Linked DNA regions of Ovis aries. The protein of the gene in region 2 binds, or shares a complex with, the protein of the main gene of each other region. Links are inferred from orthologs where the notes say so. Each region holds a gene or a part of one and is shown on either strand. Other genes may lie near its edges. The genes, in order: PRIM1, PRIM2, POLA2 and POLA1.

The links.
Region 1: the proteins of PRIM2 (region 2) and PRIM1 are in contact, whole or in part, in a crystal structure (PDB 5EXR), measured with the Homo sapiens proteins. The link is inferred for Ovis aries from reciprocal best matches to the Homo sapiens genes PRIM2 and PRIM1. Residues at the interface, in NP_000938.2 of Homo sapiens: Glu165, Ala168, Ser169, Pro171, Ser172, Phe188, Ala189, Leu192, Phe195, Arg196, Gly197, Arg198, Val200, Tyr201, Leu202, Glu203, Asp204, Gly205, Phe206; in NP_000937.1 of Homo sapiens: Lys147, Glu148, Asp149, Phe150, Gly151, Phe152, Ala180, Val181, Gly184, Ile185, Glu187, Tyr188, Ser190, Leu191, Lys193, Lys207, Ile208, His209, Pro210, Ile212, Arg213.
Region 3: PRIM2 (region 2) and POLA2 share a complex: the UniProt entries of both Homo sapiens proteins name them as parts of the alpha DNA polymerase complex. The link is inferred for Ovis aries from reciprocal best matches to the Homo sapiens genes PRIM2 and POLA2.
Region 4: the proteins of PRIM2 (region 2) and POLA1 are in contact, whole or in part, in a cryo-EM structure (PDB 8G9F), measured with the Xenopus laevis proteins. The link is inferred for Ovis aries from reciprocal best matches to the Homo sapiens genes PRIM2 and POLA1. Residues at the interface, in XP_018121015.1 of Xenopus laevis: Pro34, Pro35, Thr36, Glu37, Asn38, Ile39, Ser40, Leu41, Ile42, Phe44, Glu45, Ile49, Ile107, Phe110, Ile111, Leu114, Cys117, Gln118, Ser119, Glu120, Asp121, Arg123, Ala240, Arg241, Leu243, Val245, Val246, Gln247, Arg251, Leu252; in NP_001082055.1 of Xenopus laevis: Leu842, Lys853, Ile894, Pro895, Glu896, Leu971, His974, Arg977, Glu978, Leu981, His982, Glu985, Gln988, Lys989, Asn991, Glu993, Asn1007, Asn1009, Arg1101, Asp1102, Glu1106, Gln1109, Glu1221, Asp1224, Gly1225, Asp1227, Ala1229, Leu1230, Met1233, Trp1234.

The regions. Positions count from the first base shown.
Region 1 is NC_056056.1:162,923,925-162,931,422, reverse strand, and holds part of PRIM1 (DNA primase small subunit), read right to left. Parts: intron 6,603-7,498; coding exon 6,466-6,602; intron 6,120-6,465; coding exon 6,061-6,119; intron 4,946-6,060; coding exon 4,836-4,945; intron 4,330-4,835; coding exon 4,238-4,329; intron 4,069-4,237; coding exon 3,927-4,068; intron 1,799-3,926; coding exon 1,729-1,798; intron 1,322-1,728; coding exon 1,236-1,321; intron 1-1,235. UniProt on the Homo sapiens protein: Catalytic subunit of the DNA primase complex and component of the DNA polymerase alpha complex (also known as the alpha DNA polymerase-primase complex - primosome/replisome) which play an essential role in the initiation of DNA synthesis.
Region 2 is NC_056073.1:3,039,565-3,047,645, reverse strand, and holds the start of PRIM2 (DNA primase large subunit), read left to right. Parts: upstream 1-2,563; 5' UTR 2,564-2,696; intron 2,697-3,306; 5' UTR 3,307-3,315; coding exon 3,316-3,469; intron 3,470-5,374; coding exon 5,375-5,478; intron 5,479-7,941; coding exon 7,942-8,021; intron 8,022-8,081. UniProt on the Homo sapiens protein: Regulatory subunit of the DNA primase complex and component of the DNA polymerase alpha complex (also known as the alpha DNA polymerase-primase complex) which play an essential role in the initiation of DNA synthesis.
Region 3 is NC_056074.1:39,930,163-39,937,660, reverse strand, and holds part of POLA2 (DNA polymerase alpha subunit B), read right to left. Parts: intron 4,397-7,498; coding exon 4,290-4,396; intron 1,722-4,289; coding exon 1,528-1,721; intron 886-1,527; coding exon 797-885; intron 1-796. UniProt on the Homo sapiens protein: Accessory subunit of the DNA polymerase alpha complex (also known as the alpha DNA polymerase-primase complex) which plays an essential role in the initiation of DNA synthesis.
Region 4 is NC_056080.1:23,028,067-23,035,564, reverse strand, and holds part of POLA1 (DNA polymerase alpha catalytic subunit), read right to left. Parts: intron 5,544-7,498; coding exon 5,427-5,543; intron 4,259-5,426; coding exon 4,083-4,258; intron 1,956-4,082; coding exon 1,826-1,955; intron 1,336-1,825; coding exon 1,216-1,335; intron 173-1,215; coding exon 73-172; intron 1-72. UniProt on the Homo sapiens protein: Catalytic subunit of the DNA polymerase alpha complex (also known as the alpha DNA polymerase-primase complex) which plays an essential role in the initiation of DNA synthesis.

The DNA.
Region 1 (7,498 bases), on a different chromosome or scaffold from region 2:
CATAACTAACTTGTCTTTTTTTTTTTTTTTTCACTACTTTCTAGGAAGTCTCCTCTTTTCTTTTCCAGCCCTTCCAGTGAAAGTTTTATTCTAACGATTATGTTTTTGATTTCTAAGACCTCTTTCTTATTCTGAATGTTTTTTTCCCCATAGCATTCTGGTCTTGCTTCATGGATACACTGTCTTCTCTTAATCTCTGAGGAGATCAGTTTTTTTAAAAAAAGGTTTCCTCTGTTCCTTGCATTGTTTATTTTCCCTGAGTTCTTTTTTTTTCCAGTTTATTATTTTCCAGTTTATTTGTTAGAGACTTTTGTCCATTATTTTAAACAGAATGCTTGTAATCATTCTATAAATATTGATGGAGGAATGTACCTTGTTTATGTTAGAGCTGAAATATATGAAGTGACATTTGAGCTTGGATTCTGAAAGCAAGGTAGCAACATTTGACTAAAAAGATCAATCAGAGATCTGTTCTGCCCATTACAGTAGTCACGAGTCACATGAGGCTATTTAAATTAAATGAAGCTAAAAATTCAGTTTCTCACATTTCAAGTTCTCAAAAGTCATGTATAAAGGCTAGTGATTACCATTTGGACAGTGCATGACATTTTCATCATAGAAAGTAGTGTTGAACTATTGCTATAGTGTCTCTTGGGTATTGGTATAAGATTTGACTTTCACTAACTCAGGGAGATGGTGATGAACAGGGAGGCCTGGCGTGCTGCAATTCATGGGGTCGCAAAGAGTCGGACACGACTGAGCGACTGAACTGAACTGAACAGGCCGTTTTATATTCCCATCTCTTTCAAATTATTGGATATACAATTCAGTTACAGTTTAGACATATATTTAACATAACACTCATCTGGATACAAAAATAAGTAGAGAACGAAATACTGCATACATGGTAGTTGTTAAGTAGATAGTTATTGAATCTAAGACTGTGAGATTCAAACAACTGTCAAAATCAATTGACAATTTAATCTTTCAGTATAGATCCTGGCATTAAATGTTATTTTGTAAATATCTGTAGACTCACATTGGATTCAACAGCACCATTTGGGCAACTGATGAAGGAGAGAAACATTGTGATCATATTATTTGCTACTGAGCTGGTTTCAGGATAAATAATGATCCATTCTGGTCTGAATCCAAGGCAAATTAATTACTGAGTCACAGAAAGACGTCAATATAAAAAGATTATGTTAAAGTGAGACTTCAATATACTAACCTACCTCTGGTTCTGTGTTTAATATCAGATTCAGCTCCATTCTCTTTTTCTTCTTTAGTAGAAATAACATCCAACTCATGGCAAATGGAACTACAAATAATAGAAGATAATTTAAAAGTTGATTCTTGGTCAATATTACCCAGTGTATGAAAGCACATGAATCTCACAAGATTTTCTGTGAAAAAAATGTGGCCAAATGAATTTGGGATATTCTAAACATCATACTCTCTTTCTGGAGTTTTCCATGCATGTTAGCATATTAAAGACTAGGAAATTTTGCTTAAGTCAACACTTCTCAAACTTATTTGAACTTTTTTTTTTTGCATAATAGTAGCTGAAAAATTTGTGTTCTGTAGAACTCACGAGGAAATGCTCTTCTGGAAGGGCACCATCATACAGCCTCAGAGAAGCTGCCTCTCCAGAAGGGATCTAATCCAATTTACTTCACATTTACAAGTCACAAACAAAAAAGGAGTGATCAGTGATCTGGAACATACCTTATGGTTGGAACAGTAAATGGATCAAACTGATCCACTTTCTGTAAGTCAATAGGCACAGAAATGCGACCTGTGAAAAACAAAAAATTATAAGCTGAATATTGTACAATACAAATAATTATAGGCTGTGTCCTATGAGTTATTTTTGGCTAAAACTTTAAGGCTTAGAAAGAGGGTTACACTAATCTGTTAAGAATATTTATTTAGAAATATAAAAGTACTTTCGGGACTTCCCTGGAGGTCCAATGGTTAAGACTCCACACTTCCGATGCAGGGGGTATGATTCTCTTCCTGCCTAGGGAACTAAGATCCCACATGCCATGTGGCCAAAAAGTTTCAAAAAATACATAAACAGAATAAAATTGGGTCTTAAAAAAAAGTACTTTCATATTAGTGCCTTTTATTTCTCTAAAAACACCAAAAAATAGATGTGAAAGACTGCTGAGCTATTACCTAGTTGCTCTTATATCCATTTTGATTTCTGTTTTTCTCTTCCCTATATCCTCCAATATGTACGTACGGAACAATCTCAAATTTAGTGAGTCCTGAAGATGGAACACAAAATAGATGGAAGTAGTTTACTTCATTACTTTAATTTGCTGAAATCAAAACAGACACCTATGTGTTGAGCATCTTTGGAAATAATATAAATGACATATTACCCTTTTACAAAATCCACATCTGGGACATGAGGATAAAATTCATATCTGAAAAATGAGATAATGAATTTAAAGAATGGCAGGTGACTAACAAAATAATTAAGGAAATTGAGAGTTACGGGTAGAAGGCAGAGTGAAAAGACTATAGCCATTTAATGGGAAAAAGATATAATAAAAATGTATACTTACGAGTGAATGTAATTAGTTACTCAAATCTTGAATATTAAATAAGGGGAATACTCACTGAAGCTTTAGAATATTAAGAGAAACATTAAGAAACATTAAGCTTGTTACCAAAATAAACTAAAAACACATAACTGGCAGATTTGAAAAGGGGCTATATAAATGTATATACTACAGAGTCATTGTAGACTATTAAAGAAAACTAGGCAATGTGGGAGTACTGAATATGTGACAGACACTTTTCTAAGTATTTAACCTTTTAGATCTTCACCATAAACCACTGAGGTATCTACTGTACAGATGTTAAAACCAAGGGTCATTTGCTTAACTTCCCACGGCAAGTGGCAGAGTTGAATTGTTGACACTAAAAAGGATAACTAGATACTTCTAATTGTGTCCTCTAGTTGGATGGAGCAAAGTTTATGCCACTGTATCTACTATCATACTTATTGTAAAGTCAGTTTTAGTCCATCAAATCTTATCCAGAAGAGTGAAAGAAGAAAGCTAAATCTATTGAAAAAGACCTGAGGGAGGCAGCATAGTGGAAAGAGCATGGAATGGAGTATAGTTGCCTTACAGTGTTGTTAATTTCTGCTGTACAGCAAAAGGAACTAGTTCTATGCATACATTACATATACCGCTCCCCTCTTTAAGAGTTCCTTCTCATTTAAGTTACCACAGATAACTGGTACAGGTTCCTGAGCTATACAGTCGGTTCCCATTATTTATTTACATAGTAGAGTATATATGTCAATCCCAATCTCCCAATTCATGCCACCCCCTGCCTCCACCTTGGTAACCAGAAGTCTGTCCTCTACATCTGTGATTCTATTTCTAAAAAGCATGGAACTTTGAGTCTTAAGAACTGAACTCTGTTATCAGTTCTGACATAATTTTTTTATTTTTGGCCACACTACGAGGCTTGTGGGATCTTAGTTCCCCGAATGGCAATAGAACCTGGTCCCCATTAGTGAAAGTGCCAAGTCCTAACCTCCCTGGATCACACCAGGGAATTCCCCAAAATTTGTTTTAAGACTGTGGACAAATCACTTTAACCTCTCGAGCCACTGTTTTCTCATCTGAACAATATGTGCTGCTGTTCTATGATTTTTAAGTTCCTCTCCAACTCTACTTCTAACGCTGAACCTTAGAAACCCAACTGAAAATTATTTACATAGTGGAAACTCATTGAATACCTACTAACTGACAATGGAAAAATAAGTTAATTCAGATACTAGCTGACAGAACAATTCTTCAAGCTTTACTATTTCAGACATTCACACTCAGTGACATGCTTTCTATAACAAAAAATAACTTTGATTTTTCTTTTGTTCTTAATTTTTTAAAAAATAGTACCTGTTTTAGGATGAACACTAAAAGGGCTCTTCAGTAAATGATTGATTCCTTTGCTAACATTGATATCCAGTCGTGGAAAACAATACTGGAGCATGATCTCCCACTCAAGCCAGGGTCCACATTTGTCGTTTTTGTTGTTTTTCTAAAAACAGATGTAAGTCCAGCATGAGGATCAGTAGGAACTTTTGAAGATTTCTTTAAGGTGGTGAAAAAATGATCTTCAACCATCTTTAACTTAGTAAGTGAAAAAATGATAATTTAATTAAGAATTGCATTATTGTATTTGTAATACAGATTTCAATGGAATATACCTGATATTTGTTGATGGTGTTCTTCAAATTCTCCCAACGCTGAAGTGAATTGCTATGCCTTTGGAAGCCTTGTTGAAGTTCATCACGCATTGGTGATGGATCATTAAGGAACATACTCATTTAGGGTACATCAATGAACAACTTATTTTCAATGTGTATTACCACAAGGATATCTAAAGACTACATAGAAAGTAATTATTATTTTCTAAAATACACATATTAAACACAAAACCTTAGAAAAATTCCCCTGTTAAATTGTATTAGGTACGACAGAAAGAATGCCAAAATAGCTTTAAGGTTTAAGGTAAAACTGGTTCGTGATCTGTATATATTTTGATGATCATTTTGTATCCGTTAAGTAGTCACTAATTTTAGGAGGATCAGCTTCCAAAATGAGGAAATTTATTTACAAAACAGCCTCGCTTCTTACTGTATTCCAGACTAGAGATTTTAAAAAAAAATGCAGAAATACAGGAGATGTTTTGTGTAAAAAAGATTAAAACTATATAAGTACATGAGAACATGCAGGTAGAACAAATTTATAATATCACAGGTCAGTACAAGTAGCTCACATAGAAATGGACTTGGGAAAGGATATTTTCAGGAACAAGGGCTAAAATTTTATCCCAGCTTTCTTTATTCTCAAGAATATCTTGATCAACTAAGGCATATTGTTCAAAGTATTTTTTAATTATGTTTATAGATTTTCTGTAGGAACAATAATAACAAAGTCCCAACACTATTAGTGACATATATGGCACACGGCTTTTGTTCACTAGGGAGGCTAGTACTTATTTTCACTGAATTTCTAGAACTTAACTAGATAAAATGGGAATTATACCTCTTCACAGGGTTATGAGAGTTAAATGAAACACTCTAAGGGGAAAGAACCTAGCAAAGTACTTGGCTTAGACTAGATATTCAAGAAATGTTTACTTCTTAAATCCCACAATTTAGAAGGTTCATAGCATCACAGACATGTAACAAGGGCAGAAAGCAACCAAGTCAGGACAATGTAATAATACATCAGTAGTAGGATGTGGGATACAATCAACAGTTTCTATTCTGAATTGCTTGCTTTAGCATCTCAACACTTACAAAGTGCTTTGCAGTTTGAAAATAGACTTTGCATCTACTGTTTTATGTATATATATTTGTACGTTAGGTTACTAGTTTTTATTTCATTATTATTGTTTTTTTGGCTGCACAGCATGCAGCATGCAGGATCTTAGTTCCCCAGTCAGGGACTGAGCCCATGACCCCTGCAGTAGAGGCAGAGAGTCTTAACCACTGGACTGCCAGGGCCCTTCTACTGTTTCATTTAATCTCTGCCACAACTCTGAGATAGATGGAGTAGACACTGTTCTCCCCATACTGATAAGAAACAGAGTCTCTAATATTTTATCAAGGTCATATTAAAGTGGCAGAATAGGGATTCTTACTTCTAATGCAATGCTCTTTCCATTATCCTAGAGAAGTAGTGAATTAAATGGAAAGGGTATGGTCTTTGGGATCAAGCAGACAAGGACATATATGCTGATTTTAATAATTACTTGCATAAAGCCAAACAAATTATACAATCTCTCCACTTATAGATGAGAGATAACCATCATGTATCTAATGCGGTTGTTGTAAAGACCAATAAGAACATTTGTGAAACACCTATCAAGAATACTGGAATGTACAAAACAGACAATTAATTAATTCTGGCTATTATTGTTGTAAAATGCTACCCTGGTGCAGAAAATTGATACAGTAATTCTAAAAGCACATGCAGGTAAATCAGACACAACTTAAACTTCATGGAGTCTTCCCCAACAGACCTGACAAAAGGGTGAATTTTTTCACTTAGGTGAACTTTCTTTTTAACATCTTGACCACCCTGAAAAACAAACCATCAAAAACAAAACAAAACTTCATGTAAGAATCAAAATTTTCTCTAATGTATTCTAAAGATATTGATTAAATTCTGTCAAAGTATAAATCTTGGTTAACTTTACTTGACATACTTGGACCAGAAAAGTAAACTAAACTTCCTTTTGCCACATACAGCAAAATATGAGATATCTTAAAAATGTAACTACTATGATTTTAACTGATCTACTGATAAAATCATTTACTCTGAAATATGAATGCTTAAAAGATAGTTTGCTTTTGTTACTAAACATACAAGGCTGGGTGATGTCTAGCTAATGAAGAAATGTAAACTATCATTAAGAAGACCTTACCTTTACCAGACTCAAATATTCAACTATCCCAGAACGTACTGCAGAGGACAGTTTTCTAACTGATTCATCACAGACCCAACAATGAACACCTCTCCTTCCAGAATATACCCAGAGACGATGTTTAAATCCAAAGTCCTCTGAGGAGGGAAGAAATCATCAGTTTTAAAATAAATTTGTAAATTTCTGGTTCTTGCATATTTCTCTAGCTTGATTTTTTTTTTTACCTCTTATCCACATGTACTCATCTTAACTATACTGCAGTTGACCCTTGAACAAAGTGGGATGCCGACCCTCCCACTAGAAAATCCACATAAAACTTATGGTTGGCCCTCCATAGAAACAGTTCCTTGAACTTCCTGGGTGGCCCAGTGGTTAAGAATCTGCCTGCCAATGCAGGGGACACAAGTTTGATCCTTGGTCAGGGAAAATTCCACATGTCGTGGGGCAGCTAAGCCTGTGTGCCACAACTACTGAGCCTATACTCTGCAATAAGAAAAACCTGCACACTATAACGAAGAATAGCCCTCAACTAGAGAAAGCCCATGTCTAGTGATGAAGACCCAGTGCGGCCAACAAATATGTATGTGTATGGATACACACACACACACACACATATATATATATATAAAAGGACAAGTTCCTCTGCATCAGCAGTTCCTCTATATTTGTGGTTCCACATCTGCAGATTTAACCAACTATGAAGCATATAGTATTGCAGTATTTACTACTGAAAAAAATCTGTATAAGTAGAATTGCGCTGTTCAAACCCATGTTGTTCAAGAGTCAACTGTACATTATTTGTAGTTTCCCATGCTCCCTGAGCTCTTGCTTTCAGTTCTTTACTTATCCTGGTCACTCTGCTAAGAATTTCTTCATGCCCCAGTATTTCCATTTCTCTCCCTGACCAACTGCCATTTCTCTCTAAAGACCCTGGCTAAGAATATTAAAAGAGGTAACACATTTAAAGTGTTTGAAATAGTGCCTGGTACATAATAAGCCTCTTATATAAGTTAGTCATTATCATTCTCATCCT
Region 2 (8,081 bases):
TTTGAGAAGGAAATGGAAATCCACTCCATTATCCTTGCCTGGGAAATCCCACGGACAGAGGAGTCTGGTGGGCTCATGGGTTCATGGCATGGTGAAAGAGTTAGACACAACTTAATGACTGAAGTTAATTTCAGGACTTATGGACTTCCCTGGTGGCTCAGACGGTAAAGCGTCTGTCTGTCTATAATGCGGGAGACCTGGGTTCCATCCCTGAGTCGGGAAGATCTGCTGGAGAAGGAAATGGCAATCCACTCCAGTACTATTGCCTGGAAAATCCCATGGATAGAGGAGCCTGGTAGGCTACAGTCCTTGGTGTCGCAAAGAGTCGGACACGACTGAGCGACTTCACTTTCCTTTAATGACTGAACGGTAACAACTGACATATTAGTGAAATTGGTAGTTTTGTGGTTAGCACTGTGGTGCTTGGCTAGTCTCTGAGACTTTGAACCTGGCTCTGCCAGCTACTAAGTGACCTTTGAAGTGACTCAACTTCTCTGTTGTACAATCCGTATCTGTAATGTAGGTTAATAACAGAGACCGCAGCAATGAAATTAAAGGATGCTTGCTTCTTGGAAGGAAAGCTATGACAAACCTAGACAGTGGGTTAAAAAGCAGAGACAACGCTTTTTCAACAAAGGTCTATACGGTCAAAACTATGGTTTTTCCAGTAGTCATGTGCAGATGTGTGAGTTGGACTATAAAGATGGCTGGGCATTGAAGAACTGATGCTTTTGACTTGCGGTGCTGAAGATGGCTTGAGAGTCCCTTGGACTGCAAGGAGATCAACCCTGAATATTAACTGGAAGGACTGATGTTGAATATGGAATACTGCAATACTTTAACCACCTAATGGGAAGAGCTGACTCACTGGAAAAGACCCTGATACTGGGAAAGATTGAAAGCAGAAGGGATGACATAGGTTGAGATGGTTGGATGGCATCATTGACTCAGTGGATATTACTTTGAGCAAACTCTGGAAGATGGTGAAGAACAATGAAGCCTGGTGTGCTGCAGTCCACGGGGTCACAAAGAGTCAGAAGCGACTTAGCAACTGAACAGAACAGAACCTTAAATGGGTTCAGTTCAGTCACTCAGTCGTATCCGACTCTTTGTGACCCCATGGACTGCAGAATACCAGGCCTCTCTGTCCATCACCAGCTCCCGGAGCTTGCTCAAACTCATGTCCATCGAGTCGGTGATGCCACCCAACCTCTGTCGTCCCCTTCTCCTCCCGCCTTCAATCTTTCCCAGCATCAGGGTCTTTTCAAATGAGCCTTTTAAATGGGTTATGGCAATACAATGAACTGACATGTAAGTCCCTCAGAACACGTTCTGGTACAAGGTCAGGGTCAACCCCTGTTTGGCCCAGGCTAGGCAGATGCTCTGAAGCTTGACACTGTTTCAGCTCAGTCTGCATTTCCGAAACCTTGAACGTCTTGACGGCTCCTCCCCTCCTACCTTGACAGGGACTTCTAGAGGCCTCTTTTGTGAGCGAGACCCGCCACCTGGCGGCCTCAGTTCTGAAACGCTGCCGCGCACAGTGGGGGCCGTCGCCTCCCGCGCCTCCCGCGCCTCCCGCGGCCTCGCCGGTCACCGTCCGGCGCCCCGCGGTCTCCTTCCGCAGACGCCGAGCGTTCCTGAGTGCGCACGCGCAAGGCGTGCGTCCCGGCTGGACCGAGGTCCCCCTGCGGACCCTCGCCGCGCACCGAGAGTGCGGAAGGGGCTCGCCGACCAGGAGAAAAGCGGGCTGACCCGCGGTACGCAGGCCGCCTAGCCGCCGCCTCTGTGAGCGGTGAGCCGGGCCTCCCGCTCGCCGGGCTCTCTGAGATTATCACCCAGGGTCCCAGTCTGGAGCCGGTGCTGACCCGGCGCCGACAGCTCAGACCCACGCACACGTAGTGCAGCAGTGAGAGTGACAGTCGCTCCGTCGTGTGCGACTCTTTGCGAACCCACGGACTACACAGGCCATGGGATTCTCCAGGCCAGAACACTGGAGTGAGAAGCTTATCCCTTCTCCGTGGACCTTCTCGACCCAGGGATCGAACCCTAGTATCCTGCATTGCAGGCGGATTCTTTACCAGCTGAGCCACAAGGGAAGCCCAAAATCATCTGGCAGCGGTGGGATTCGAACCCCGACCCCTACAGCCGCTGCTGCCAAGTCGCTTCAGTCATGTCCGACTCTGTGCGACCCTATAGACGGCAGCCCACCAGGCTCCCCCGTCCCTGGGATTCTCCAGGCAAGAACACTGGAGTGGGTTGCCATTTCCTTCTCCAAAGCATGAAAGTGAAGTCGTGTCCGACTCTTAGCGACCCCATGGACTGAAGTCTACCAGGCCCCTCCGTCCATGGGATTCCCCAGGCAAGAGTACTGGAGTGGGGTGCACTGCCTTTTCCAGACCCCTAGAGACTGGATCTTTAATCCAGCGCTTTATCACGGCCACGATACATAGTGCAATACCTACGACAGAAATCCAGAGACCGCCCCACCCAGAGGGCCCCACTGAGCATGCGCAAGCCTGGGCTGGGCGGGCTTGGGGGAGAGGGCGGGCTCCGCGGTCCAGCCATTTCCGCTTCCGGTCCCGTTCGAACTCTCCCGCCACCTGAGGAAAGCTGTTGTCGTGTTTATCTGTGTTTGGTGTAGTTGCAGGTGAGAGGAGCCGCCGGGGTTTGCGAAGAACAGTAACCCTGGGGTTGAGGTGTGCGAGCCTGGAGAATGGGGAGAGCGGCGGGCGCGGGGGGCGCGAGTCCGTCCTGGTTGCTTGTCTAGGCGGAGGCGGGTGCCGGGGCTGACAGACCGCGTTGGCTGAGGGACCGCGGAGGCGGCGTGTCACTCGGCGCCGCTGGACGCTCCGGAGAAGAGCTCCGACGTGCGGCGCCTCGGAGACAGCCGTCAGTTTTCAGGGGTTGTCAGGGAAGAAGCCCACCGAGTCGCGTTCCTAGCCTGAAGCTCCCGCGCTTTCCTCCGAGTTCGGGGTCGCAGCCCTCGGGCAGTCTCAGCCTGACCCTGGAGAGCTCAGAGCCTTCAAGGCGGAGCGCGCAGACGCCTGGAGAACCGCCCGCGTCCCCTGCTGTGGACGTTGCGGGAAGTCACGACCGCTGCCCGCGTCTCCGCAGGGCTCACCTCTCCCCACCGCCTGTGTACCGCGGTTCCAGCGGTGTTGTCGAAGGTCTGGAAGACAGGGACACGACTCAACATGTTGTGCGTGCTCTTCAGAATCAGTTGCCAGGCAGAATGTTTTCCTTTGTGTGTGGAGTTATTTTTTGTTTTTAACTCCATTTCCCACCGTTTTTTGTGCTTGCTTCCAGGGTAACAAGATGGAGTTTTCTGGAGGAAAACGGAGGAAACTGAGGTTGGCAGATGACCAGAGGAATGCTTGCTACCCACATAGCCTTCAGTTTTACTTGCAGCCACCTTCTGGAAACGTATCTTTGACAGAATTTGAAACGTTGGCTATCGATAGAGTTAAATGTGAGTGATTTGAATTTGAATTTTTGTATTCCTGAGAACCTCACTTATACCTTGTAGAGATAAATTAGAGTAATTTATTTCCTTCTTTAATATTTGCTCAGGTTTTTCGTTGAGATTTTGCTGTTCATTCATTTTTTCCATGTACTGTGCATATTTATTGAGTGCCACTTTATTCTAGGCGGTAGGGATTTTGAGCTGAGTAATGAAATTGTCATCTTTGTTGAAGCTGTATTCTAATACATGGAGACAGATGTCCAAAGCAGTAATTATAGTTTAGTATTTTAAGTGCTCTAGTAGAGGTGTTATTGAAACAGATGGGAATGATTGACCTAATCTGATTAAGTGAAACTTCTTAAGAAAAGTTGAAATGTGACCTGGATCTTGAAGCACGAGTAGCAGTTTCTCAATAGAGAGGAAGGGAGCGGTTTTTGCAAGCTGAGCTAATGGTCTGAAGGAAGAGTTGGAAGCACCAGAGAGCGTGAAACACTGGAGGGAAAGGTGGCAAGTTCAGGGTGGGTGGAGAGCTGTGGGTAACCAAGGGTGTTTTGTACCACGCTAATGCTGTGATGGCATCACCGACTCGATGGACGTGAGTTTGAGTGAACTCCGGGAGTTGGTGATGGCCAGGGAGGCCTGGCGCGCTGCGAGGGCGTGCTGTGATTCATGGGGTCGCAAGAGTCGGACACGACTGAGCGACTGAACTGAACTGAATGCTGTGATAAGTGTAAGAAGGATGTAGCGATTTTCTTGAGCCTGCTTGTCTTCTCTGTGTTGGTGGAAGAAAGAAAGAAGTTCGGTGTCAACTGCAACAATAGCACTGCCTGCAGAGTTTATGTTCCAAAGCATATCCTGATGGGGAGATCAGAAGTAGAAGTGAGATACTGTTAGTCATTCTTAGAAGAGCTGGGTGAGAATTGCTAGTACAGAGTACCTGTATTATCTGTTTGCTGAATAAAAGAGTAAAGGGCAGGGAGAATGGGTTCTGGGAAGCTTAGCATGGGTTCTGCGATGCCTCATAGAGGTTAAGTGGTTGAAAAGGGTCCCTTCAGTTTGGCCCTGGAGGTGAGATGGTGAGGCAGGGACAGGAAGGGAGACATGGAAGGGATACCAAGGAGGTGTAAGTGACAGGGTTTGATGACTGCTTGGGTGTGAGGAACAGGGGATCAGGTGAGGAGGGCTGAAGTTCCAGGGTGGCTGATCTCGTGGGTAGAAATGCTGCTGTTAGAGGTGGGTGGCAGGAAGAGGAGCAGGATTGAGGGGCAGAGAATGAGTTTGGTTTGGGAGACCATAATACGGAGTCCCTGCTGGACATGGCCTCAGGATTCATTTCAGAAGTTTTTCATTCTCAAATTAATCTCTCTTTTCTCACCAATGGAAGAAGAATTCATCCGAGGAAGAGTTGACAGGGGCTTCAGGAGCCTTTGGACAGAGCGAAGCATCTAGTCAGAGTGGCTTGTTTGCTGCTTTACTGCTGTGTCTTCTTCTCTGCTTCATCAGGAAGGGGCTGGCTATCTTCCGAAGAGTCTGTGCTGAGTTGGTGAAGCACCCGCCTCACAACCGGCTCAGCACGAGGGCTGGATGCGCACGCTGACACACTTGTGCATCCCTCAGCAGTGATGCTCAGTACATCATGATTGTCCCCATCCCTCTCTCCCTTCCAGTTGAGAATCCCTGGTATGAGGTTATGCTGTGGGATGTGGTTATTTTCTGCATATGGTTGGAGGTTATTCTCTTATAAACATATATAACATGTAATGTGCTTGCAGAAAATGAAGCTTAAGTATTGTTATAAAAAGTAATTATGGAATTGCTATCCATAGATTTGTCTTAGATTTAGTTTTTTAAGATTACCTTGCATTTATACATTTCCCCCCACCTTTCTTCTGTTTTTCAAATTTTTTCTAGTGCTAAAAACAGTTGAGAATCTTGGTGTGAGCTACATGAAGGGAACTGAACAGTATCAGAGTAAGCTGGAGGCTGAGCTTCGGAAGCTCAAATTTTCCTACAGAGTAAGTAAAAGAGGGACAGAGATGTTCCTTCAGTTTGTGTGTGTACTGGTAGTGACCATAGGAAAGGTCTTGTATTATGCACAGGGCTTTAAAAAAACTTCCTGAAGGAACCTACCGACCACGAGGGATGATTGACATACAGTCAAACTCCAGTGCGGCAGGGTGTCTCCACCTTAGGAATGTGAACATGCGGGACCTGATGATTCCATGGTGCATTTAGGGGGCTCACTGGCATCTCTGGCTTCTGGGCTCTGTTTCCAGATATTGCCAGATGTGTCCTGTGCAGTCAAGGTGACAAATGCTGTTATTTGATGTGTTCCAGGAACTCTGTTTTGCTCTCCTGGTGGCTCAGTGGTAAAAAATCTGCCTGCTAACGCAGGAGTTGTGGATTCTCTCCCTGAGTCGGGAAGATCCCCTGGAGATGGAAGTGGCACCCCACTGCAGTATTCTTGCCTGGGAAATCCCATGGACAGAGGAGCCTGGCGGGCTACAGTCCATGGGGTTGCAAAAGAGTGGGTGGGACATGACTTAACAACTAAATAACAACCAGGAACTCCAAAAGTACAGATAATTAGCTCAGGTTGGGGAGGGCTTCCCAGATGAGATAGTGCTGGAACCGAATCTCAATGGATGTGATCTCATTTTTATTTTGAGAAGATGAATATGGGAATACCAATCAGGAGCTTGGAGATGACAAGTAAATTGAATGGAGTGAAGAGGACTGATTGAAGAGATAGTGAGAAGATGGAATCATAAGATTATAGAGATTGAGTACAAGGAGGAGGAACAAGAGTTCTGAGTGATGCTTGGGTTTCTGGTGATGACAGCTGGGTGGATCGTGGGATATACAGGAGAGGAGGCAAGTCTTACTAGAAAGAAGACTGAGTTTAGTTCTCGTTGTAACTCTGAGGTGCTTGTGGAGCTATCTTGAGGGCTGCAGGGTGTGCAGCAGATCTGGGCTTGAAGACAGGTGGTGGAACAGTCGTAGTGTTTGGAGGAGAGAGGTGAGAGATGAATGTGGAATATTTCCTCTTCTAACATGTCCAGCTGAGAAGACCGGGGAGGTAGGTCTGAGTATAGGAAAATCTGAAGGGAGAAGATAACACGTTACAGCATATATTTGAACATATTTATAAGCTGAGCAGAACGATCTGGAAGAGAAGAAAGGGCGATTGTAGATATTTTGGGAGAACTTTGGATTAGTCATGATCCTTAGGAGGCAGGAGCAGGTGGGCTACGGAGTTTCTGTGTGGGATCAGCTGTGTGTAGGAGGAGAGAGAGGTCTGTCAGTAGGGATAGTGGGGAAGGCAGTACCACACGCGGTGGCAGGAGTTTGGGCTGAGGAGCCGGCCTGAGGCCTTTGCTTTCTGTAAAGTAGATGAGGTCTTGTGATGAGAGGAGGGAACGGTGGTGTATTGGGGAGGGCTGGCCACCTAGTGAAGATCAAAACAGCTGTCCTGAGATGGGGGAAGGAATAGTTATGGGGCCAGATCCCAGCTCTGCTGCTTACAGGCTTGTGACCTGGAACAAAGTCAGTTTCCTCATCTTTAAAATAGGGATATAGTGGTGCCCTCCTCATAGGGGCTTTCGAAGGATTATGTGGATTAATGGATTAAAACGCTTATAACAGTGCCTGGTACATTGGGAGTGCTCAGGACATGTTTGCTCTGACTGTGCTGAACTTGAGGAAAGATTCCTTGGTGTTACTTGTTTGACTTAGTATGACTAGAATGCTGGATTTTAGTAGATATGTAAGAAGCAACAAAGGTTTACTGTATAGCATAGGAAACTATAGTTAATATCTTATAATAACATATGATGGAAAATAATTTCAAAAATAATATATGTGTATTTGTGTAACTAAATCACCTTGCTGTGCACTTGAAAAGTTGTAAGTCAGATATACTTGAATAACATATATATATATTAAAAAAAAGATTTCTGGGTGTTGATAAAGGTCCAGTTGAGGTTTGTTGTTGTTCAGTTGCTCAGTCATGTCCGACTCTTTGTGACCAGTTGAGGATAGAGGCTGTGAATTTTTAATGGTCCAAAGTCCTATAATTGTATATTTTTTTTCCCAGAAGTTCTCAGCATTTTGGGAGCAGGACTGCAGAGTATAGCTGTGGATTTGTTTATAATCTAGGTTTTGCCAAATGGTTGAAATGAAAATAGTTGAGGGTTTATCTGAGAAGTGGTGGAAGAGGTGAGTGGCTGGGTGTAGGCTGGCCGAGAAGGAAAGTTAGAGGAGGAAGAAAACAGTGGGATCCAAACCCAGGAGGTGGTGGTGTTCAATTGTGTTTCACCCAATTGTCAACCTAAGTAAAGTGATGCTCATCCTGGAGAGCATATTATGAAATCTGTGTCGTTGAACTTCTGCTTCACCGTTGGCTTATGCTGACTCAGTAATTCTTTACACCTTTCACTGTTTTGCATTTATTTTCTTCATTTGCTATTGTTTTTCAGGAAAGCTTGGAAGATGAATATGAACCTCGAAGAAAAGATCACATTTCTCACTTTATTTTGCGCCTTGCTTACTGCCAGTCGTGAGTATACCTTTATCTTCCACAGTCAAATCTGACATCTTGGGCTATAAACTGGTGCAG
Region 3 (7,498 bases), on a different chromosome or scaffold from region 2:
AACCAGCAGCAGAAAGGTTAGATAATTTAATCAAGGTCAAACAGTGGGCAAAGTGTGGGTTTGAAGCCCAGATGTTTGGCTCCAGGGCCATATCCTTTAACCACACACCATACCGCCTTGTAACAGGAAGTTCTTCATTAAACTGAGCTGAAATTCCTCTCTCGGTGGCTTCCTCTATCCTGTTCTCACTCCCGGGGGCAAACCGAGGAAGTCTAATCTTTCCCCAAGAGATCGTACAACCCAGCCTCCCCTCCACTACTTCCTCCCAACTCCCCCAAATCTTCCTTATATGACATGGTTTTGCATATCTTCCCCAGCTGGCCATTCTCCTCTGAATGCAAATATGTGACAGAGGCCCCGTAAAGAAACTCTGAGAACACATCTCCCCTTAAAGTACACGCTAGAGAGAAAGCACTGTGCACGAGCCAGATTAAACTATGACGCAGACGCTGTTCACAGCACTTGATCCCTGATGACAGAGACCAAAGAAGGGGAAAGACCATGAGTCACTGTTTCTGGAAATCCTCACTTTGCTGCTGTTCTCATATCCTGACACTTGAATGCTTAAGGCCCTCAATCTTGTTTACATGCAAGACTCTAACTCAAGCGCAAAGAAAACGACTTAATCTGGTCACAAAACCAGGCAGCACTTACAACCCATTTTACCAAATTCATCCAAGGTAGATGTTCTAACTAGAAGGTAGACAGTTAGTGAAAAGGAAGCCAGAGGCTGACTTTTCATCATTGATTTAATAAAACAATATCCATCAGAAAAGACTATTAGAACAACTCTTACCTGTGCTGGGACTAGAATGGGAGCAAAAGCCTCAATCTTATAATGTTCCTTGAGTTCACTGCCAAGTTCTTCTATCTTACAGGTCAGAACTGAAATCCCAGAGGGAAAAAGCATGTTTAAGACATTTTACTTGCCAAGCAGAGAAAACATAGCACCTTGTAAAACATTAAAGTCAGTCATTTTACAGAAGCAGGCAGGCAGCCGAGGACACCAGCCGGTCTGTAAGTTTCTCAAGCCCGAGCCAATTGCCCGATATTTGGTTGCTGAACCCGGCCTTCCATTTGGCCATGGTGGGGGGAGGGAGGGGGTCACGGATGAGGTCACAGTCCCAAGGTCAGCCTGGCTCCCTCCCCACCCTCCCTCTTACTCAGGTGGTCAGGGGGGTTTCAGGGAAGCCAAGAACAACCCGAAGAGCCTTCCAGTCTTTCCAAGGAAGAAGCCATAAATGTCTCCGCTTCCTTTAACACTGTAATTGGCTTCCTTTACACAGTTCAAGCGGCTGTTACTGGGAAATGGTTGTGTGCTTTTTCTTAGCAAAGTGATTGTGATTCGGGAGAATTATTGAGAGTGGTCATCTTATATCTGTTTCCTAATAGGGGTGCCCAGAGGACATCTATCAATCAAAGGCAACCTTGAACTTGTTCTACCAGCCTAGCTGACACTTTGTTACTGATTCAAGCCCTTCCAGGTGGTTTTATACCCTCCAGAATGTCAAAGGGAAAAACAAATACCTTCTCGAATGTCTGGGAGCTTCTGAAACATGTATTTGTAGCTCCGGGTGAGCGGCTCTGGATGTCCCAAGACCTTCAGGCTGAGGTGACTAGTTCCTCCACTCCCGGACCAAGACACGCCCTGTGCCGAGCCAAAGGAGGTAACCACTTCTCCCCGGTTACTTCTTGAGCTGTATTTCTGAGGGGGAGTAGCACTGATTGGAAGCAAAAGACATCAACGTTACCGCGTTCATATCTAAAAGGAGAGAGGAGTCTAAGATGAGGCTACCTCTCGGAAATTTGGGATTGGAGGCATGCCAGCCTGGCCTCACATTTTATAAATCTAATCAGCTTAATGGGGTTGGACATTCTGGACCTTTAAGGAATTTCAGGAATGAGGGGGGTTGAGGAATACCAAACGTGTTTAGAAAAGCTTAGACACAGAGACGCAGTTTAAAAGGTCTTCTCCTGGCTTAAAACTAACAAAGTAAAACAAAACCCAAACTCTGAATTGATTAAAGAGCCAGTTTCGAGTACTATTTTCTTTCTTATGAATTTTTAGCACTTGTTAGAATATCATCGGAGCCTGGAACTGTGGATAAGTCAAAAGCTGCTCTGTGCACACATAACCCCTCATGACATAGTTCAAGGCAGAAACAGTAACAAAATGAAGTTAAATGAAAGGGAATCAGCTTTCCCCAGGATCTCTGGAGGTGGGCAGGTAATGAATTCTGTCAGCTAGTGAACAAACACTCCCACTCTCCAAGTCTCAATCGGCAAGTTCTCGTATTTCTCCTCATTCGCTGATAAATTCCACCTCCGAGGACACACAGTGTTGCTGATCTGCTTAGAGGACAGCGAGGTCTTCTAAGCCTTTGGTTGTGAACAGTGCACCAAGAGGCCTGCTTACAACAGGCTTCATTTAATGCCCTGAAACCCTGCGGGAACCAGTTCTACATAGGCACTGTTACAGTGGGTGCTGCCAGTTCCTCCTTTCCACAGAGGCTGCAGCAAACGAGCTTGACTAATGACCTCTGTCTCCAGTGCTGCCTCCACCTGAATAATTTAGAAGTTACTTTCATAAATTACGAAGCCAGTTTCTGATGTCAGCTTTACTGGCATGCGTTACAGAATGACGAGGCAGGGCATCTCAGCTGCGCCAAGCTCCTCCCTGCGAAGCTCTGTGCGGCACACATTACAGCCGGCCCTTTAACCCAGGGAGATGCTCACGCGGGGTTTGTTGCAAACAGATCTGCAAGTTTCAAAGTCTTGCTGTTGAGAGAACAGAACTGCTGCCATGGTGCTGGCACCTACGAGAACCACTCTGTAACCAGCCATCTCTGTGCATCCAAAGATGCCCTTCTAAGTCTACACAGTTCTATTCGGAAGCCAGGGTGAAAACTCCTGAAAGCAGGAGTGGGCCACACTAAAGTCAAATCCGCCCTCAGGATCCAACTACCTTTCAGAGGACTTCCCCGGTGGTCCAGGGCCTAAGACTCTGTGCTCCCAATGCAGGGGGCCCGGGGTTCAACCGCTGGTTGGGGAACTAGATCCTGTAGGCTGCAACCAAGAGTTCACATGCCACAACTAAAGATTCCACGTGCCACAGCTATGACTGCTGCTGCTGTTGCTAAGTTGCTTCAGTTGTATCCGACTCTTAGCGACCCCATGGACTGCAGCCTACCAGGCTCCTCCATCCATTGGGGTTTTCCAGGCAAGAGTACTGCAGTGGGTTGCCACTGCCTTCTCTAACAAAGACTAGGCCGAGCCAAATAAATAAATTAAAAAATTGAAGAAAAAAAGAATCTGACCCCGTTCTGATCTTGAACAATGCTAGCACTCCCTTTCTTTCTTTCGTGTGTTTTGGCCCTACCAAGTGGCTTGTGGGATCTTAGTTCCCTGACAGGGATCAAACCTGGGACTACGGCAGTGAAAGTGCCGAGTTCTAACCACTGGACTCCCAGGGAGGTCCCTATCACCTCCTTTCTGATGTGACAGAAAAGTCTTAGGTTGGCAAGTCTTAAGCTCTGCTTGGTCTAGAAGTGACTCCTGGCAGCCAGTGTCGCCCTAACTGGCTCACGCCACCGTTCCTTTGCCCCATCCCGATGCGGCAGCACCTAAAGCCCTTTCTTCTCCTCAGCAGAGCTCCCACTACGGAATTCTCTCATGGAACACGTGTCATTTATGGATTTCCAAAAGTCACACGTGATCCCTGTGGATTTATGTGCAGAAGTGGCAGCAGGGATAAAATACCAATGAAGTTGGGGTAGGTTCAGGGACAAGAAAACTCTCAGCAACTAGCTGTAACCTGAGTGAGGAACAAAGAACAGGTTACGCAATGTTATGAACAAAGATATGTGCTTTTCTTTTTTAAAAATAAATACCTAAAAAAAAAGAAGAAAGAAAGAAACCCAACAACACATGAACTAACAGAAGCAGGTGGAAACCTATTAGCCTCCTCCTGGCAAGAGACTTGCAGGCTCCCCAACTTCTGAATAGACAGGTTGTTTTTGGTAGGAGGTATCAGGTTCTGAGCTAGGAAATGAGCCCTAGAAAAGAGGGTGGAAAGTGAGTTTCCTTAACTACCAGTAAGAAACAGTAACTTTCCACACAGGATGAGGGCGGGGAGGGGAGGGAGCAGTCGGTCTTCTAGCCAGTCGACTGCAGAGGGAAACGTCCACCTCTCTTCCTTAAGTCAGGTTGTAGTGTCAGCCTCTACCAGGTAACCAGAGAGAGGGGAGGGCGGGCCTGCTGCCTGACAGCTGAATTATCAGAATCCATACCTTGGAGAGAAACTCGATGGTGAGAGGAGCTGATGGGGGCTCCGAGCAGACACACTTCTTTTTGTGAGGGGGGTTTCTGGGGTAGTGATAGTTCGCTTCTGAGAACCCTAGAAGCAAAGCAGGAGAAGGGCGCAGTTACTCTAGACTCGGGTTGCTAAGTGAAGCACGCATATCCTTAGGAAAAAAGGGGGGACGTGCCCGGATGAAGGGCACAGACCACACAGGGCTGGGTTTCTTCTGAAGGCCCCATCTTTCAAGCAGAATCTCAGACTTTAGCAACTGTAATACAGTCCTCGGCAGTACGCTGTCTCCATTTGGGAGGCAACTAAGAAACAAATGCCAACAACATCCCCCGACAGGACTGCCAAGCAGGCGATCTGTCCTGTCAAATCGCTCGCGTGTTCATTTTCCTTCCCCACCTCTCTGCTTTAGCACAGCTGGGAGTTTGGCTACACACATAGTTTTAACCTGCACGGACACATTTTCCTGTCAAGGGATGGGACCATGTTACTATTTATTCTGGCAAAGTCTACCACACATTTTCAGAATTAAAGAAGGGAGTGACTCCAGGCAGATAACACGGGTGAGCTCATACTTGGAGAGTATTTAGCACACGCCTCACTGATGGTCAGTTTTGTTTTCTGGGTGGTTTTGCTCATCAAGAAGAATCCAAAGAGATGCCTGGAGTGGAGGGTGAAACCGGCAAATCCCGAGATCCCTTGCTCCCCAGAGTCTGGGACAACGGACTGTGGCTGAGCAAAGACAAAATCCTCGGCTGGAGGGAAACCAGGCAGCTGGCTAGTTGGCCAGCGTTCCCCTGCCCTTGGGCTCCTCCTGGCTGCGGGTTTAGGTTATGCCACCAAAGCTGCCTACGGGGTGACTAGGGACAGGCAAGGAGAAAGAAAGCAGGATTCGAAACCACCCTTAAGTGGCTGGAATGGAAACTAGATTTTAAAAGGACCCTTCCTTATGTGCTACACTTATACAACAGCCATTTAAAAATACTCCTTTCTAGTATTTCAATATTTTTCCAATTGAAAAAATTCTAATAGTTATAATCTTAGTTTGAATATGATCCTTCATTGAAGTATTGTATATTATGAGTTTTTTGCTCTATATTAATTCTGAGCATTTCTCCCACATTGTCAGTCTTCATCCTTTCTGGTAGCTGTGTTGATGGAATTGATATATAATAGTTTACGTAACTACTTCTCTGTTGTTGGGTGTATCTGTTTCTGGAGACAACAAATACTGAGGTGCTCACTATCACACAATAGCTTTTCCTGGAATTTGGATAATTTCTTATGAGAGATTCTTACTAGGAGCGATTACTGGGCCAAACGATGGCAAAGATTTTACGGTTTCAATAGGTTTTTCTCAAACTATTTTTCCCGAAGACCCTTCTAATACATAGGGGGCTACAGAGCTCCAGGTCCATCTCCCAGGATGAAGCAAGAGGACAGGACTCTGGGAAAGAGCAGAGCCTTGGGGCTCAGCCCTCAGCCACGTGGTGAAGCCTGATTGTGCCAGCAAACCAGCTCGAGACGTTCCTGGGGTGTGCTCACTCGCAGCAAGCTCAGGAGACTCACTGCTAATACTATTGGCTGGTTTACCCACCCATAATGAGACATACAGAGGGACTGCAGTCTCACACCCTGGGGGGAACTCATCCTCAGAGCACACAGGAACCCAAATTTTAGCCAGATTATTCATTTATTAGAAAAAAGATGCCAGAAGCATGGGAACTTCAAATCCCCAGGCTGATACATCTTTCTCTGTCAGGCAGGACATGTGGAAAGTCGGACTACAACCAGAAGATTTATGGTGAGCACAGGGGCAAAAGAGCAGCTGGTGGGACTTCCCTGGTGATCCAGTGGCTCGGACTCTGCACTCCCAATGGAGGGGAGCCTGGGTTCAGTCCCTGGTCAGGGAACTAGATCCTACATGCTGCAACTAAGACCCGGCACAGTCAAAGAAATAAATAAATATTAAAAAATTTAAAAAGAGTAGCTGTCATTGCACAAGGTAAATATTTAATGGTGACAAGCTAAAACCACTGACATATTCACCTCTGCAACATGGGCCCTCCTGCCCCTGGCACCAGTCTGGGTGGGAAAGGCCAGCCCTGGGCTCTGACCCTGTCATCGTGCTGCGCTGATGCCCGAGTTCCCACATGCTGGGCACTGTTCAAGTCTTTTTCCTGTTTCTACCCCAGATCCAGTCTGCCTCTCCTCTGAGCTCCAGATGCATATTTCAAATTGTTCACCCATTTCAGCTCATCTCTTAGCTATGTTTCCATGGCCAAACTTTGATCTGTGATTGAGCCTCCTGAGTACTTTTGTAGCAGGAATGGGGTGTCCTCAATATGGTATTTCAGCCATCAGAAAGCTGTGTACTTCAACAGTAAATTAAGTAAATTTGTATCTGATTTACGTGTCAGTCTACTGAGAGTTGAGTTACCACAAGTCAGTCCTCCCAAATATGAACAACCCTGATGCTGTGAACATTTTAGCTTTCTTGCTTTCCACAGGCACATGTAAATGACTCACCTTTCCTTCCTTCTGTTTTTTGGGTGGGGGGCTGTGCAGCGTGGCTTGTGGGATCTTAGTTCCCAGATCAGAGACTGAACCCAGGGCCCTGGCAGTGAGAGCACCAAGTTCTTGCCAGGGAATTCCCCTATCGTCTTCTTTCTTACAGTATGATTTACTTTGATAGATTAAGGCTTGCTCCTTGTTTAAGGATTGCCACAAATTCATTTTCTGTAGAGACTAACTATGATTACTGAATACATTGCTTTGGGTTTGGCACTTTACATGTTCATTTACATGTTTTCAAGCCCTTCAAGATATTTAAGATAATATCACAGGGTATTATCTGCTGGCTACTGGCTTCTTGAGGGCAGAGCACAACCTTGCCTGCTCCATCCACCAGTTCATCCAGTGTCTGGCACATAGTAGTTGCTCAGTAAGCGAATGAATGAACCCTGATTATGCAGCAAAGGACATGGCAGCTCAGAGAGATAAAAGCAGCTCACTCAAGGTCACTGAGGTCTTTGACTCAGGCTTTGAGGACAGTGCCTTTCCACTGCTCTATTCCACCTCTTAGCGTGGGGTCCAACACCTAAACTGGATAAGCAATATTTATAGAGCCTCCACTTGAGACAAAACTAGACACCCACTAAAAAAGAGCAATTATGGAGAAACTACATT
Region 4 (7,498 bases), on a different chromosome or scaffold from region 2:
TCAGGTCTTTTAGTTTCTCAAGCTGACTGCATTAAGAAGTCCCTTCACATCAGGGACAAAGCCCAGCCTTACCAACTTTGGGGTCCAAGACCAAGCCTCCAGAATAAGCTGCTTTCTTACGTCCTTTTTTGTATTTATTGGTGTCTCCATCAATGTCTTCATCTTCATCTCCCTAATATCAAATGGAAGATAACTTCACCAGCCAGCAACTCATGAACCAATTTAGAAGGTTTATGATTTCCCCCTTTCCAACTGCAGTACACAGTTCTAACAGATACTTTACTTTCAGTTAATAGTCCTCTAGGGAAAGACAGTTACTGTAACATGTTCATGAATCCAAATGAATGCCAAGCATGGTACTTACCAAAACAAACACTGTATCTGAGGTGATAAATATGCAAATTCCACTTTAAAATATTTCTGAATAGAACTTCACATTTCTAAATCAATGGACACTAACAATTCAACTATTCGTGCCATGTAAAATTTGAGATTCTAAGAATTCTCTTATATTCATTACTCTAACATTCACGATATAAAAATACAAACTATTTTATTTAGCTATTACCATTATTCTTATTATTAATATGGATACCTTAAAATAAGTATGTCCATATGCTGAAAATTCTTTTCCAAGTAGTTTAATTAGCAAACATTTAATACTCAGCAGAAGTCAAACTCCTCTAAGTTAATACTTCACTAGTTTTTAATAATGTATGTAAAACAAGCACAACAAAAGAATCTGAGTCATTTTAACATTAAACTCCCATTCTAAATTGATTACTATCCGTGCTGATAAGACAGCAGCTAAGCTAAGTTTTATTTCTGGTGTGATGGAGACTACTTCAGAAACCTGACTGTGGTGACCTTAATCCTACTAGAATATAAAAATGCAACCACACAACATAAAAAGTAAGGCTTAGGGGTTCAAGGAAATAAAAGGTTCAACTGGTAGTGCTAACCCAGCAAAACAATTTCCATCTATGGTCACGCATCAGAGGCCTAATGCCTCCCTCAAAGAATTTCATATTTCACAAATAATTTTTATCTGTATAGAGAAAAGTAGAGAAGGAAATGACCATACCAAAACAATGGAGCAAACAGGATAGTTTCTACTTATCTGGGAAGTAGATGTTATCACAGCCCAAAGAAACAATCTTGTTAATAAAAAGGGGGGATATAAAAAAGCAAAACACTATATAATTTTGGACCCACCAGTTTCTGCTGAGGCTTTCTGAAAGTCTGCTTGTCAGGCACAATATAGTTGTTTTCATAAAATGCATGAAGTAATAAGAACTCATTACGCTCAGATCGTCCACCCATCAGCGTCCTAGACTATTAAATAGAATTAAAAAAAAAAACTTGAGCTCAAAACCACAATAAACAAAAGCAAATCAAATTGATAAATTTAATCATAGCACCTCCTTCAAATTCACTCACCATATCAAGGGCTGGTTTAAAAAAAAGGGGGGGTATTAATTATTTCCAGCAGCTTCTTTAAGCATTACAGTTAAAAGGAGACAAAGAGAGCTTAAAATACCCACAACTCGGCTATTTCTTTACTCTCAAATGGACCATTCCACAAATCAGACACATCCAGATGTCAGAGACAATCCTTATGTTCCCCCAAATTTCAACACACTGCACCTGGCTTTCCTCCCCCTCTCCCAAGCAGTTCTTCATTTTACAAAAGAAGCCCAGCTTTCAAAATACAAGTTACTCATTTTATAAGCATGCATTTAGACTCATTATCATATAACAACTACCCCAAGAAAACATTGGATCCAACAGGAAATGCTTTTTCCCCTTTCTAAGTTAAATTTACCATAATGTTCCCAGCGATGTTAGTGATCTGCAATGCTAATGGAAGAACATTTAGCTCACACATGATCTGCAAAATGAACCTGGCATCTTTCCAGGTATGCTCCAACAGGTACAACAGATGAGAAGAGTCACTGTACAGAAAAGTAAGAATGAAACAGAATCAAGTAATTAAAAGAAACAATGATTAAAATTAGAATTTCATAAAGCATTATTAAAAATTTTTGGTTATGTAACTTCAGAGCCAATGGCACCTCACACTGGAAACAATTTAAAATAAGTTCAGTATGAAATTAGGAATTCATTCATACCATTGATCCCAATGCCTTTCTCTAAAACAAACAAAAAAAATCACACTAAGATAAAGTTATATGCTAACTACAATCTGAAAACGCCCTAAATCCTTTCATTCATTTCATCCACTAAATATGTATTACATACCCACTCTATGCCAGACATTGTTCTAAATTCTGGCGGTGAACAAAAGAGATAAAAATTCCTATCCTTATGGGGGAGGTAGGATACAACTTAAAATTTTAATATGTGGTATGTTAAATAAGGCTAAGTGTTAAGAAGAAAAGTTAAGAAGGGAATATTAAGGGTCAAGAGCAGAGACAAATTTTAGTTAGGGAACCAAGGAAGAGTCCACTGAGAATAAAGACCCACAAGAGGTGAGAGGGTAATTCTTTCAGATGGGTAAATCTGAGGGAAGAACATTCCAGGCAGACAGAACAGCACATTCAAAAAAAAATTTTTAATTAAAAAAAAAGTATGCCCTAGTCTGAGCATAAATCTCGCAGTTCCAATATCAAGAACAAGACCAATGGCTGCAATACAGAGAATGATGGAGAATAAGAGAAGATAAGGACAGAATTAATGGCAGAGATACCCACTGTATAAGACCTTTTAAGTCATAATAAGTGCTTTGGTTTTTACTCTGAATGAAACAGAAAGTCACTAGGAGATTTTAAGTACAGTGCCATATCCAACTTTACTTCAGCACAGAAACTCTCGTTTCTGGGTTGAGAACAGACAACAAGGAGTCAAGGGCAAAAGCAAAGAGACAAGTAAGGAGGCTAATATAAGACCCAGTGACCCAGGAGAAAGAGGATGGTGGCTTGGACCAGGGTGGGTCCAAGTGAAGAGAAAAGAAGTGGCATAGAGACATATTTTGAAGATGGAGCTGACAGGATTTCCTGATGCATGGAACATAAGATGTCAGAGAAAGGAATCATAGATGCCTCAGAGGTTCCAGGCTGAGGATGACTCTGGAGGTTTCCAGTGATACTGGAAAAGTAAGAGAAACAAGGAAGAGAAAGTCAGGAGCTCAGTTGTGGAACAGGCTGAGTTGGAGGCTCATATCAGACATTAAGCAGAACAGGGAGGTAGAGACATGAGTCTGAATTCAGGGGAGACGTCCAAAGTGAAGATATACTCAGAGGAGGCATCAGCACCCACGTGGTATTGAAATTCCTGCAACTCGATGAGATCACCCAGGCAGGGAGCGCAGTCAGAAAGAAAAGCAGTTTGAGAACTCGGGAGGAACAGGCAGAAAAGAATGCAAAATGGCCATAGGGGTAGGAGAAACCTTATGTAAGAAATAATCAAGCAAAAGTTTACATTATGCAAAATGAATTAAGTTCCAGAAATCTAATGTATAGCAATGTGATGGCAGTGAATAATGTATTATACACATGAAACTTCCTAAGAGGAAGAAATCTTAAGTGTCCTCATCACAAAAAAGAAAAGAAAAAATTAGTGCTTGTGTGAGGTGATGAGTGTGCTAATTAGCTTAACTGTCATGATTTTTTCACAATGTGTATCAAACATCAAGCTGTATACCTTAAATAAAATGCAATCTTTATTTGTCAATTTGACCTCAACAAGGCTGGAAAAAAGAAATAAGGAGCAATATCTCCAGATAATTGAATGACTTTTCAGATTTTATATTTCCAAAATATTTGCATTAATTTCTGAATTAATGAATTAAGGGTGGAAACCTAAATATCACATCAATTTCCAAACTGCTCTCAGGAAACATCAAGATGGTGTTAAATGAGGGAGATATTATGATAAAATTAGAATAATTCAAAAGGCAAAATAATTCACATCACTAAAGGAATGGAGATGTGATGCTGACATGAAGACAGACAATTTTCCCCTCCACAGCACCACACGCTCCTGTTCCTCCAGCCTAAGGATGATTCTGGCATTTCAGTTAATTTCAAGACAGAGAAATTCTGAAGCATCCAGGATCATACCTGTACATGTTTCGTATATTTTCAATTGGGATTACAATCCTTTCAGTTTTCAAAATCTGTTGAACAAGTTCAGATAAATGGTAGCTTTTACACCGAATCAGTTCCTTCGCCGAAATTTCCACATCACAGATCATTCGGCCACAGGTAGCATTTTTTTCACCAAATCCACTCCTGCCCTACAGGTGAGGACAAAAAGCAAATCCCATGGAAGAGCAGACACTGACATTTCGTTCTAACTTGATTTGAGACTAGCCCCAAAACTACAATGATGAAACTTTCATTCTTCCATTCATGCATTCATTCAGCCATCACTCATATATTTTTGAACATTGACTGTGTATCTGACACTGTTCTGGACACTCAGAATATAAGGGATACAGCGGTTAGCAAAGTAGAAAAGATACCTGATCTCATTTGAAATATACAACTAAAAAAATTATATAATTTTGGGAGGTAATAAGTATATGGATAATAGAACATGGTGACGGGAACAAGGAATTTGCAGGAACTACATCTTAAACAGGGTGGTCAGGGTAGACCACACTGAGAAGATGCCATATAAAGAACCCTGAAGCGGGTAAGGAGTAAGCAATGCCAGCATCTGGATGATGTGTTAATAACGACTCTATTGTCTTAAAGAGATGAACAGGAAAAGAAGCAAGAGCACTGGCTCCCAACTCCAATCTGCAGCAGCAGAATTCTCTGGAGAATGTTACAAAAGGTACAGATTCCTAAGTTCTCTGATGAAGCAGCATTCTGGTTCACTGGTAAGATTTAAGTAAAGATTTCAAGCAAAGAGCAGTGTCAGAGTTTAGGAAATGAAGGTGCTTCATCCAAAACCCACCACAAGCCCCCTTTATCAAGCAAGCAGGCAGAATGAAAAGGGACAAGCCTTCCAAAAGTCAGATGGGGCCTGGGTTCAAAATTATAGTTCTTGCCTTTACTAGCTCTAGGATCTTGAACAAGCTCTGTCCCCTCTGTGAGAATGTACCCCTAAACCTGCAATTGCTCAGAGAGAGGACAAATATGCAGCCCACTCAGTGTCTGATCCCTCCCATTCTTCCTTCCCATCTCCTTCCTGAACCCCACAGCTGTTTCTTAGGGATGCCCAAGTGGAGCTAATAAGCACGTGCTATCTCTAGATTCTAAAAGTTAAATTTTAAAATTACCAGTGGTTACTAATAAAATACTGAATTCAAAGGAAAAGGTGTTTAGTGCTAAAGTTAAAATGTCCTATCATAAGGCAGTCCTGATTCCAAATCAAAAAAGCACAAGGTGCAACCTGGTAGCTACTCAATATACAGAAGCCAAAACAGAGAAGAAAGATTTGAAAATTATGATTACCCCAAGCTTCGGCATGTTGGATCGCTTCAGCCGACCTATCTTGGACCAGAAAGGAACTTTGCACACATTAATTCTCTGCAGTAGCACTTCCAGTTCAAAACCATAAATATTATGACCCTAGTCAGAAAAAGAATGTAGCCAATAACATTAAAAGAAACACAAATTAAAGGATTTATCATCATAATGCATAGAATTTCTCTGCCCTTTCTTTTTCTGGTCTCTAATTGAAGGCATCATGAGCTTACCTCCGACGGGGGTCCTTTCTTCTTCAGGAATTTATTCATCAGCAGCATTCATTAGCCTTGACATTAACAAGGCTGCTAAGCAGATTGCTGGAATAAACTTTATTTTATTCTAATTGATGCCAGGTTCATATGATGTCTTTTAATTTGCAACTTACACCTCACAGTCTCTCAGGAAAATGCAAATTTTAATGTCCCATACTTTTCAGGTCATCAGTAGAAGCTGTATTCAAATAATTTCATTTTACTTCCTTAACAACCAAGAACCCAGCTGTGCTGTGTGACAGTTTACATAGACTTCTTAGAAAACTCAGGAAGTACATCCAGTTTCTTCTTAAAGAACTGAGTTCAAACACAACTGATTTTGACTTTTAATCAATATGCAACAAAATAAACAGATATCACTCCATAGTTCAAATAAGAAACTTGTTGAAAACACTGAAACAAAACTATCCTGAATAAAAAAAAAAAAACTCAAAAAGATAACCATATTTTCCAAGTCTGTACTAATAATTTCCATTGTGTGAATTATGCTTATTCTAGAATGGGAAAGACAAGAGATCTCTTCGAGAAAATTAGAGATACCAAGGGAACATTTCATGCAAAGATGGGCATAATAAAGGACAGAAATGGTATGGACCTAACAGAAGCAGAAGATATTAAGAGGTGGCAAGAATACACAAAGAACTGTACAAAAAAAGAGCTTCACGACCCAGATAATCACGACGGTGTGATCACTCACCTACACCCAGACATCCTGGAGTGTGACGTCAAGTGGGCCTTAGGAAGTATCACTACTAACAATGCTACTGGACATGATGGAATTCCAGTTGAGCTATTTCAAATCCTAAAAGATGATGCTCTGAAGGTGCTGCACCCAATATGCCAGCAAATTTGGAAAACTCAGCAGTGGCCACAGGACTGGAAAAGGTCAGTTTTCATTCCAATCCCAAAAAAAGGCAATGCCAAAGAATGCTCAAATTACAGCACAATTGCACTCATCTCACACACTAGTAAAGTAATGCTTAAAATTCTCCAAGCTAGGCTTCAGCAGTACGTGAACCATGAACTTCCAGATGTTCAAGCTGGTTTTAGAAAAGGCAGAGGAACCAGAGATCAAACTGCCAACATGTGCTGGATCATCGAAAAAACAAGAGAGTTCCAGAGAAACATCTTATTTCTGCTTTATTGACTATACCAAAGCCTTTGACTGTGTGGATCACAAGAAACTGGAAAATTTTGAAAGAGATGGGAATACCAGATCACCTGAACTGCCTCTTGAGAAACCTATATGCAGGTCAGGAAGCAACAGTTAGAATTGGACATGAAACAACAGACTGGTTCCAAACAGGAAAAGGAGTACATCAAGGCTGTACATTGTCACCTTGCTTATTTAACTTCTATGCAGAGTACATCATGAGAAACGCTGGGCTGGAAGAAGCACAAGCTGGAATCAAGATTGCCAGGAGAAATATCAATCACCTCAGATATGCAGATGACACCACCCTTATGGCAGAAAGTGAATTAGAACTAAAGAGCCTTTTCATGAAACTGAAAGAGGAGAGTGAAAAAGATGGCTTAAAACTCAACATTCAGAAAACGAAGATCATGGCATCCAGTCCCATCACTTCATGGCAAACAGATGGGTAAACAGTGGAAACAGTGTCAGACTTTATTTTTGGGGGGCTCCAAAATCACTGCAGATGGTGACTGCAGCCATGAAATTAAAAGACGCTTACTCCTTAGAAGGAAAGTTATGACTAAGCTAGACAGCATATTAAAAAGCAGAGACATTACTGTCAACAGTATGGATGTGAGAGTTGGACTATA